Linked DNA regions of Arabidopsis thaliana. The protein of the gene in region 1 interacts with the protein of each later gene in a pairwise test. Each region holds a gene or a part of one and is shown in the gene's direction. Other genes may lie near its edges.

Region 1 (3,813 bases):
CAATTCGTTTTTTCCGTCATGAGACCAACAACCCTCACCGTCTCCATCGACTGCAATTCTCTCCGTCGTGATAATCAAATTTGTTTATTAACACCGACTCTACATTCCATCAAAATCATTATTTTCGACTCCATCAATATCGTTTCCTTATGCTTCGATGATTCACACAACGTTTATACGACCAACCTTTTTCGATGAATCCAATAGAACTAATTAAACAAGTTTTGATGTAAGATATCTAAGCTCTAAGAGATGATGTTATAGAACCCAAATTCTCTAATTATAGATGCGGATCGAATCATCTTAACCGTAAAAGATAATGTCTAAAGAACTCAGAACAATCATGTATGCAATAACTGAAAAGTATATGATTGTGAATCATGAGCAAATCTTAAGTCATTTTCGTCAAAATTATATCTCAAGACCCAATTAAAATTTTAAAGAAGAAAAAATAATAAAGGCAAATTAATATTTTAGAAAAAACAAAAATATCCGTCTTTATAATCACTCGAGAATATGGCTAAATTCATAATAGACCATACTTTATTATGGTTTTTCTATAATTAATCCTAATTTTATTAGTTGCATGAAATTTTGGAAATCTTATAAAATACAATAACTTTTGGTCCATAATATATTGTAATATTGTGTATAGTTTTTTAGTCAATGATTGTTTCTAATTATACTGATTTATTACCAATTTACACTGCCACTTTTGGTTAGTTGCATGAAAATTTTGGAAGGCTAGAAAAAATAAATTTTCGCGCAACAAAATCATACTCCTTTGTTTATAGTTATGGTGATGGAAATCAAATACGTACCAGACCTTTGTTTATAGTTAAGGAAAAAAGAATTAAAGTCTTCAAACTCTAATTTGCTGGTCAAATCCAAATTTGGCGTGACATGTGCCCGTAATTAAAAATTAATTGCGTAATTAAATACTAACTTTCTAATTAGCTGCATCATCGAGACGAATAATTGAGTGTATTGGTCAATTGAATACGACAAAAATTATTTAAATAGTCGGTAAAATACCCATAGAAATTGACTAATCCGTCACCTCCCCCGGATAATACAGTTTTAACATTTGGTTTTCTAATTCAAACTAACATTTAAATTCCCTAAAAACCTTTACACGACCTATTGCCATCTAATCCAAAACTAAAAGTACTAGTTTTTTTTTTCTCAACTCAATTATAATAAATAAGAGGAAAAAACACCAAACAACAAAACAAAAACATATCATATAAAAAATCATAAATTTTTAAGAGGCAAAGTAGGTCAGAATTCTTATTAAAAAAAAAATTAACCAGCTAATGAATTAACATAACACTCTCTAAAAACGAGTAAGACAAATTTGGACAATACAATATTTTAAATTAAAAGAAAAAGAAACAAATGATTGTAAGAATTTGTAACTTTAGAAAAATATAGTACAACATCTTCAACCTCCACAATTTAATAAAAAGGATGAAGCATATGATTTAGAAAAATTATTAAAATTAGTTAGAATCTCTTCGGTTTCTCAACGTTTGTTTTGTATTTTTTGTGTTCCTCTATTATTATTTTTGTATTGTTCACTTAATTTCTTGTTTTCCAATAATCTATTTTGTTTTACATGTCTTTTTAGAAATGGTAAACAATTAAAGTAAAAAAGAGACAGAGGTGGCTCGAGGCAGAAAAGTCTACAATATATCCATCCTCGGAAAAATAAAGAAGATAAAATCAGTTCCGTATCTATATAAGAAAATAGACAAAAGTCACAAAACCTCATCAGAGCTGTCCGAATTCTCCAAGTCTCTCATCATCACACCCACTCCAACAAACTTTCTACGAGAGAAAAAAACAAAAAGAAAAACAAACAATGGAGAATCTTGTAGGTCTTCTTCGAATTCATGTGAAAAGAGGTGTGAATCTCGCCATTAGAGACATCTCAAGCAGTGATCCTTACATCGTCGTTCACTGCGGTAAACAGGTACCAAAAATTTATTCTCTTCCATTTTAGCCAATTCTGTTTTGCATCTTAGAATAAATCTGGTTATGCATCTAGTAGAATCTGATGCGTTTATTGAACTGTTGGTCGGTAGTAAAACTTTTATTATAAAAGAGATAAGATTATTGATGAGTCTATGTAGTGAAACTCAATGAGGTCTTTTATAATTTGACAGTGGATTATTGATTCTTTTTGTAGATCTCAAAACTAACTAGAAATTTGATTAAAAATTTGGTTATCAATAATGGATTGGAGGCAGTTTTTGAGGGTTGACATCACATATTTAGTTATACCTAATCTTTACAAGCTAAATGTGAAGTCTCTGACTTTTGATTTGGTATATGTCTGAATAGTACTAGTTATGAGTTGTCTTAACCTAATCCAAATTAATAACCAGTTAATACCTTCTCTGAATAGAGTTTGAGTTATATAGTTTATAATTTGCATACATGTAAATGAAGAAGTAGACTTTTGCTTCGTTTCATATTAGTGGGTCCTTTGCACATGAGATCTTTATGAACATTGGAATATTGGTGAAAAGCCATTGATTTTTTGATGTCAACATCAATCTCTTCTGGTTCCACCACGAAATATTTGTAACTTGTGTTGTCGCCTTTTGACTTACCTTAAGATCAATCAAAAGCATTTGCTAGTTCTTGAATCTTTTGTTTGTGATTGTGATACAGAAGTTGAAAACACGCGTGGTGAAACATAGTGTAAACCCCGAGTGGAACGACGACTTGACACTTTCCGTGACTGATCCGAATCTCCCGATTAAACTTGTAAGTAATCCTTACATTATATTGTAGCATGATAGCTGAACCAGAATGATAAGCGGTGGGAATTATGATGCAGACGGTTTATGACTATGACTTGCTCTCCGCGGATGACAAGATGGGAGAAGCCGAGTTCCACATTGGTCCATTTATTGAAGCTATTAAATTTGCCCATCAGCTCGGACCAGGACTTCCTAATGGGACCATAATAAAGAAGATAGAGCCGAGCAGAAAAAATTGTTTGTCTGAATCAAGCCACATTGTGTTGAACCAAGGCAAGATTGTCCAGAATATGTTCCTTAGACTCCAGCACGTGGAGTGTGGAGAGGTTGAGCTACAGCTCGAGTGGATCGATGTCCCGGGTTCAAGGGGTATTTAGGTCAAATCATATCGATCCGATCTTTATTAGTCCCTTGTGCATATGGTTAGAAACTAGAACTATGGTGCAGTTTAAAACTGGTCAATGAAAGAATCTCAAACTGGCTTGTGTAATAAACTCATTTCGTTTTTTTTTTCTCTTGTTTGATTCCAAAAAGTTTGCAATTCCATGAGGAGTAAGTGTAAACATTTGGATATCTACATAAATATCCTGTCTTATTAGCGTGAATTGTGTAGACTCAATGATCTTTCGCCTCTTCTTTGTGAACTATTAGGGATTCTGATAGTTCCAATTATGAGCTTAGGAACAATTGACACAAATGTCTGTTTAGCTATTAATTATTATTTTTCTGCTTATGGTTACATATATCAGAAAACCTTAAAAGAAGATAAACACCAAATCGTAAATCCTAATCTCAACAAGATTTAGTAATATCATGTTAAGCTAAATTCATAAAACCAAAACCATAAAACATAACTTGTATTTGCCGATCATGAGTCCATCAGATTCTTAGAAAGATAGATGGAAAACAGAGGAATAAAGCTTGATGAAGAATTGGTGAAATGATCAACGTTTTCATTATTCCATAACAAATTTCATCTACAATGTTTATGTACAGATTTAATTAGCTTGACCGAGTCTAACTAAATGTTAAACATGCTAAC
Region 2 (3,623 bases), 4.0 Mb from region 1:
TTTTTTAATCAATGTACATTCCATTATAACATGGTGAGTGGATTCTTGAAAATATTATATTTGAAAATTCTTTCAAGCCTTTTAGAATAAAAAAATTCGCAATGATCAGAATCAATATTATTCCACCAAATGGACTTTTTGATACTTTTATTATCTCTATAATGCTAAAGAATATATATAGCAATCTATCTATTCATAAATATATTAATTATTTTCTAACTTTAACTTTAGGAAAATTTAATCATACCAGTTTGAGAGCACTATTGTCCTTTTCATTTAAAATTTTGAAAAAATTAATTTAGCGTAATGATAAAATTTTATAGAAAAATCGTTTAGGTATAGTGTTTAGCAATATAATTTTACACTCTGGATATTTAACTAAATCATTGTTATAATCATCAAATTTGATATACAAGTGCAATGTGCAAGTATATACTTGACATAAAAATTAAATGTCTACAAGACGCCAAAAAAAACAGCTGGAGACTACTTTTTATGATTTATAACTTGTACCTACCGTATCTCTTGGATTCTACTTCTTACGTACCCAATTATATCTTTGTAACAAAAAATAAACTATTTACTGTAATGATTTTTTATATTTTTTTTTGGACAAAAGTATAATGATTTATAGGCTGTGAATGGTGACCAAAACCGCACTTAAAACCGTATCGCAACAGTGCTGATTTTCATTACTATTTGAACCGCACCGCACTTTTTGCGTACCGCAAAACGCAGTCACCATTCACAGCCATAATATTAAAAATAATTTTAATAGAAAAAACAAAAGTCAAGGTGATAAGAGAAAAAAGTAATTTGCCCATTTCGGTTGCAGATAAATAAACATGGCCAAAACTAGTAAGTATATGACACGGAGGCTTCATGCTCAGTTGCTCACATTTAATTATCACTTGATAAAAATTCTCTAGTACAAGTAAAATGTTTTAATCTTTACAAGTATATTTTTTTTATGTAACTGAAAATTGTTTTAATCTTTACAATTATTTAGTTTCGAGAGAAATTGGGAGTTATAGATTAAGATAAGTAATATAGGTATAGGCTTATAATAGCTTCACGAACAAAGGCTAATGGCTAACCTTTAAATGCATTCGAATAAATAATGATTCTATATTTGAGCATCTAATCAAAATTTCTACGGTTGCCAACAAAAAAATAATTCAACTCCCGTAAATAATTTTTTATTTTATAATTTAATTGCATTTCTATTACGAGTTGACCAATTTCATTTGTAATATATTTACCAAAGTGATGATTAATATAAAATAGTAGGAATTCATGAAGAATATGATAAAATGAGTTATTCTAATTTTAACTATATAGTTTAACTCGTTCAAGATATTTTTAATTAGTATCATATATATATAATTTTAACTATATAGTTTATACATTTCAATCAGAATATAGATGGATGAATAATATGATAAGTCTAACTAAACTGTGTGTTATTGTTCATTAAATTAAATCAGATTTTTCGAATTCAGCAAAATAATTCCATCTATTATAATGAACGGATATATATTTTTTTTGTAGTATTATTTTAGAATCTACAAAAATATTACGTAAATTTGTAATAGTTACTAATTTTGATGTACGTGTCTACAAATATAGTAATTATCAACTAAAAGTAGAAAGATTCAGTGCCTAATGACATTTATGTGATAGCCATTAAAAAAAACTCAAGTCTATTAAATTCCAAATATACCCTTCTTCTCTTTCTTCTTCCTTCAAATTTTCAACTTCTCTCTTTCAAGTTTCAACAAACAATATCAATGGCGAATTCAGAGTCCTCCTCCTCACCAGTAAACGAAGAAGAGAACAGCCAGAGAATCTCAACACTCCATCACCAAACCATGCCTTCCGATTTAACTCAAGACGAATTCACCCAACTCTCCCAATCAATCGCCGAGTTCCACACGTACCAACTCGGTAACGGCCGTTGCTCATCTCTCCTAGCTCAGCGAATCCACGCGCCGCCGGAAACAGTATGGTCCGTGGTGAGACGTTTCGATAGGCCACAGATTTACAAACACTTCATCAAAAGCTGTAACGTGAGTGAAGATTTCGAGATGCGAGTGGGATGCACGCGCGACGTGAACGTGATAAGTGGATTACCGGCGAATACGTCTCGAGAGAGATTAGATCTGTTGGACGATGATCGGAGAGTGACTGGGTTTAGTATAACCGGTGGTGAACATAGGCTGAGGAATTATAAATCGGTTACGACGGTTCATAGATTTGAGAAAGAAGAAGAAGAAGAAAGGATCTGGACCGTTGTTTTGGAATCTTATGTTGTTGATGTACCGGAAGGTAATTCGGAGGAAGATACGAGATTGTTTGCTGATACGGTTATTAGATTGAATCTTCAGAAACTTGCTTCGATCACTGAAGCTATGAACCGGAACAACAACAACAACAACTCTTCTCAGGTTAGGTAATGATGAAATTTGGGGGAAAGAAAAATGTTTCTAAATTGGGGGAGTTTTAATTTTTATTTTGATTTGTAAAACGTTTTTTTTCTTCTCTTGAATTGTAATTTCCTTGTTTGATTTTATGGTTATGTTTTATTTTTTAAAAAAAATCAGTCTCCTGGATAATTGGAATGGTCGAGATAGGTTAAATTTAATAACATACTTGTTATATCATAGAATTAGGAATGATAACATACTAATTATAGTAGTTCGTTTATTCAATTGGTTGACAAGATAAATTATACAGGAATGATAACATACTAATTATAGTAGTTAGTTTTCTTTAACTGTTGTGTAGATTGTACTATTTTGTAGGTTATTAGTATTCTTGTTTTATTCAATTTTTGTATTTGAAATGATATATGCATGGAATAGATTTCTAGGTCAGATGGAAAAATAATGATATTTTTTTTGTTCTTCGATACATATTTATTTATAGCGTATGTTTTAATATAGTGTTGTGTGTAGTAACTTTTCATAATAAAACGAATAAAAGCTTAATGTCTGAAAATTGGCAGTATTTATAAGTCAATTTTGGCAATTCGTAAATTCGCAAAATTATTTGTTTTCTAGCGTTAATGACAAAAAAAAAAACCTAAAAAAAAAAACCGTTGCATTAGTTTTTTTTTTGTTCAATAATTTTTTTTATTTTTTTATTTACAATTTCGTTGTAAAATTTAATTTTTGTATTTTTGTGCTAATTTTGCTTAAGTTTTCGCGCTCCAGTAACATTATTACGTTCAAAAACTAATTACTGTTGAAGGGGAAAGGGCTTTGAACGACGAAAAAGCCCATTATAATTTGAACTCTTTTATTTTTCATTTTAAAATTTGGAGAGAGCTCACCATTTTTTACATCTAATTATGATCCTCCTTTTTTTTTCTTTTTTTTTTTGTCAATACACCTAATTATAATTATGTTATGGTCATCGCTTTGTCTGATGAGCCTGAGTGGCTAAGTGCCTGACCAACAAAAATAAACTGTACTCGATTTCTTTTTCCCGATTATTAGAGACTCCAGAATTGGATGATCCATCTTTTTTTTTTTTGATCAAAAAGATTGGATGATCCATCATGAGACAACACTGAAATACTTTTGTTACATAAAATCTATTTTCTCAAATATGGTTGGACG
Region 3 (3,841 bases), on another chromosome or scaffold:
CCTAATTTGTGTCCTTCATTTTAAAGGTTTAAAAAGCATGTTTATAAAAACATGGAACTGGATGGTTTGTGAGATATGCCATCAAATTAGACAAAAGGGTCCATTAAGCCTGTGAAAAAAAAAGAAAAAAAAAACTAAGAGACGATCATAAGAGTTAGGTGTGACCTGACAAGATTCTTGTACACCCGAACCCGACTTGTGAACTGTGAAGTCAACCTCTAATTAACAGTTATTTTTTATTCCTACAAATACGGATCCAACATTATTCTCAATTAGTTGAAGTAATGTCTGTCTATTTGCACATTTTCAAACCCATAATCAAACAAAAGTTACATATCCTGACCCGCTGACCATATTATACACTCATCTGTGTATATCTCAAATCTCACTTGCAGGTAATTCTCTCTAGTACTTTTATGTAGATATATAGATATTAGTAGAATGTTAGCAAGAAAAGATGTAAAACATATATATCAACTATATTAGAACCCGTCCTTTGTGCGAGTTTTTGATTTTTATGATAATTTTAAGTTAACAAAAACTGAATTAATTTTGCTTTATATATTAAGATGTGTGTGAAGCTCAATACACAATATTAATCTATTCTTATCAAAAAAATTTATATTCAAAATTTACAGCAATTATAAAGAACTAATAGCATTGTATTATGACTTATCATTAAGATGGGGTTTGTGTCCATGTCCGGAGTTGTTAAAGGTTTGAAAACCCAGAGTTATGAATGTAAAGAAACAAGACAGAATGCTTGAAAACAGAGCATCAAGTAAATGTTTTGTGTTTATATTATTATGCAGCTAAAATGGAACCGGTGACGGCATTCCAACTTGGCCAATGGATGTCTAGACTCGCTATATTCTTCAAGGCAGACGACACATTCTTCCCCAACCTCGAAATTGAATTCCTCGACGGCAACAAAAATATATCTTCGAACGTTTTGTTGTGTCTGATCAGCCAACTCCACATCTTTAGGTAAACTCTAATATCCTAGAGAATAATAGAAATCTATAATACTAGTTACAATGTAGAAGAAGAGACAACCTATAACGAAGCTAGATACTATAGCCAACGTAACCAAACCAAACAACAAAAGTATGTTGTGATAGACCAGTTTTTCTTTCCAAAATACGGCCCAATTAAAAGTTTGGTTCTAAAAACAATTTGGGCCTTAGTTTGTATAGTTTAAAATGTGTTTCTTAGTGAGGATTGGTTTTTCATGCCCTTTTGTTTGTGTGCTCCTTTTTTTGTATATTGAAGATCATATCAAAGCAAAAGCAATACAATACTTTTCATTCAAAAAGTTCCTCCTTCTGCTTGTTCATCAAATCTCTCAGGTAATTAAATATATGGTTGTACCACTTTTAGTTTTGTGGTATTCGGCTCTGATGTTGAATACTTCAAATATCTAGATTTGCATCTGATGCAATTGAAAACCTTTTTTTTTTTTGCAATTGAAAACTCATATATATAGTATGGCTAGATATATGCAATTGAAAACTCATATATCTAGCCATACTATGAAATAACAATTGAAGAACTTCTAAGTTGAAAGAATTCTCACTTTGTATGTTTTGATGAATTTGATCTTACATTCCAATCGTTCCAAATATCGAAACTCTTAAAGCGTATTCAATCAAACGAATCTCGTCCTAGATATACCTTGGTCATTTCAAGAAGAAGAGAAAAAAGTTATGGTCAAGAAACTAAAAGTCTAAACCCATATTATAATTCTAGTGTTGATATACGAGAATTATATATTGGTCACTTGCCCAATTAAAAATATCGTGTATAGAAAACAGTCAAGTCAACAACTATAGCAAGGGGCAAAACCGTAATTTCACAACAAGCAACTTGCTCGGTTTTTTCGTTATCACCACTCACATGAACTCTGCATTAAAAACTCTATCTCTCTCAAATCGAAAGGCACAGCCCAACTTTTCGCAAGTCGCTGTAAAGTTTGATTTGCTTCTTTTTATATACACACATACTTCTCCTCCATACACTTTCCTCTTCAATCCTCAGTTTTTTTTCTAAGCCCTAATACCATCTCAAAGAAGAGATCAAGATTTGAAATCAAGAAGACACCATTACTCAGATCAACATGCTTGCCGTTCACCGTCCTTCTTCCGCCGTATCAGACGGAGATTCCGTTCAGATTCCGATGATGATCGCGTCGTTTCAAAAACGTTTTCCTTCTCTCTCACGCGACTCCACGGCCGCTCGTTTTCACACACACGAGGTTGGTCCTAATCAGTGTTGCTCCGCCGTTATTCAAGAGATCTCCGCTCCAATCTCCACCGTTTGGTCCGTCGTACGCCGCTTTGATAACCCACAAGCTTACAAACACTTTCTCAAAAGCTGTAGCGTCATCGGCGGAGACGGCGATAACGTTGGTAGCCTCCGTCAAGTCCACGTCGTCTCTGGTCTCCCCGCCGCTAGCTCCACCGAGAGACTCGATATCCTCGACGACGAACGCCACGTCATCAGCTTCAGCGTTGTTGGTGGTGACCACCGGCTCTCTAACTACCGATCCGTAACGACCCTTCACCCTTCTCCGATCTCCGGGACCGTCGTTGTCGAGTCTTACGTCGTTGATGTTCCTCCAGGCAACACAAAGGAAGAGACTTGTGACTTCGTTGACGTTATCGTACGATGCAATCTTCAATCTCTTGCGAAAATAGCCGAGAATACTGCGGCTGAGAGCAAGAAGAAGATGTCTCTGTGATGAGTCTTTGTCGTTGTCGGGTAGTTTCGTTAGATCCGACGTCGTTTTCTAGATTTTTAGCCGTCGTGTGATCTATGTTTTTTCGGCTTATGTGTGAAAAAAAAGTTACATTAGTGAATTAATCTCTCATGCATATCATAATCCTTCTTTTAATTTTTGTATTTTACATATCCCATAAAGAACCGATTTGGATAGCCCTATTCCGGCTTTCACCACCCAAAGATAATAATATTCAAACTGAAAGAATGTGGTTGTGTTGTCCGCTAATTAAAAGTGTGATTTTCAAGTTTAATTAATCTTGTTTTTCTATAGTTTCATCAGAAAAAGCGTAAATGAAATGGTACAATATGATGTTCGACTCGGATGTATATTAACTCGTTACATTGAGTTGTTGGCCATCTAATGTGTGTAGATAAATTTACGTACGTATAAACAGCTTTTGTGAAATTCGACGATTTTTCTTAAAGGCAACTTTAAATTTGGGCATAATATAATGTGTTCCTTTCCTCTATGATTTAACTAGGTCCTCAAACTTTTTACTTTCTTATTATTTCATAATAATTAAAATAACCGATTGAGCGTGAAGTTGTTATTTAAAAATCAAACATTTGATAGAGAATTCAAGATTTGAAGTTTTTATTTGTCATCATAAACTATTTGGTAGAAAATAGGGAGTAGTTGGGGATTTTCAGGCTTAAAGGTAATTGCGTAAAATGGACAAAACATACATGTATACAAAAATATGAACATGGCCGTCAAAATATAAAAAATAAAAAACGAACATGTTGATGAATTTAAAGAAATAAAAATTTGCAAGTGGACGATGCTTTGAATGATAACCCAACAAGCCAAGCTGTTCTCTTCTTCTTTTTTTTTCCCGCTTGATATAAAGAAAATGCAAGTTGCAATTTTTTTTATCTTTTACTTCCTTTCTTTATGGTTCTTCCCAATCCAAAAGATATAATATTAAATTTCGTATAATAATAAAGAAATATGGAATAGAGAGAAGCGCAAGTTGCATGTCCTTTTACATCACGAGAGTCACGATATGTTTCGTTTCCAAGTGATCTCTTAGAATATAATTATATAAATGTGTTTTTT

What was found.
Region 2: the proteins of AT5G37740 (region 1) and PYL1 interact in a two-hybrid assay, tested with the Arabidopsis thaliana proteins (one study listed by BioGRID).
Region 3: the proteins of AT5G37740 (region 1) and PYL4 interact in a two-hybrid assay, tested with the Arabidopsis thaliana proteins (one study listed by BioGRID).

What each region holds. Positions count from the first base shown.
Region 1 is NC_003076.8:14,990,284-14,994,096, forward strand, and holds AT5G37740 (Calcium-dependent lipid-binding (CaLB domain) family protein), read left to right. Parts: upstream 1-1,765; 5' UTR 1,766-1,864; coding exon 1,865-1,975; intron 1,976-2,053; coding exon 2,054-2,083; intron 2,084-2,679; coding exon 2,680-2,775; intron 2,776-2,848; coding exon 2,849-3,148; 3' UTR 3,149-3,279; downstream 3,280-3,813. UniProt on the Arabidopsis thaliana protein: Stimulates the GTPase/ATPase activities of Obg-like ATPases. Mediates the transient calcium-dependent interaction of PYR/PYL/RCAR abscisic acid (ABA) receptors with the plasma membrane and thus regulates ABA sensitivity.
Region 2 is NC_003076.8:18,982,896-18,986,518, reverse strand, and holds PYL1 (PYR1-like 1), read left to right. Parts: upstream 1-1,601; 5' UTR 1,602-1,790; coding exon 1,791-2,456; 3' UTR 2,457-2,979; downstream 2,980-3,623. UniProt on the Arabidopsis thaliana protein: Receptor for abscisic acid (ABA) required for ABA-mediated responses such as stomatal closure and germination inhibition. Inhibits the activity of group-A protein phosphatases type 2C (PP2Cs) when activated by ABA. Can be activated by both (-)-ABA and (+)-ABA.
Region 3 is NC_003071.7:16,048,135-16,051,975, forward strand, and holds PYL4 (PYR1-like 4), read left to right. Parts: upstream 1-1,783; 5' UTR 1,784-2,116; coding exon 2,117-2,740; 3' UTR 2,741-3,222; downstream 3,223-3,841. UniProt on the Arabidopsis thaliana protein: Receptor for abscisic acid (ABA) required for ABA-mediated responses such as stomatal closure and germination inhibition. Inhibits the activity of group-A protein phosphatases type 2C (PP2Cs) when activated by ABA. Can be activated by both (-)-ABA and (+)-ABA.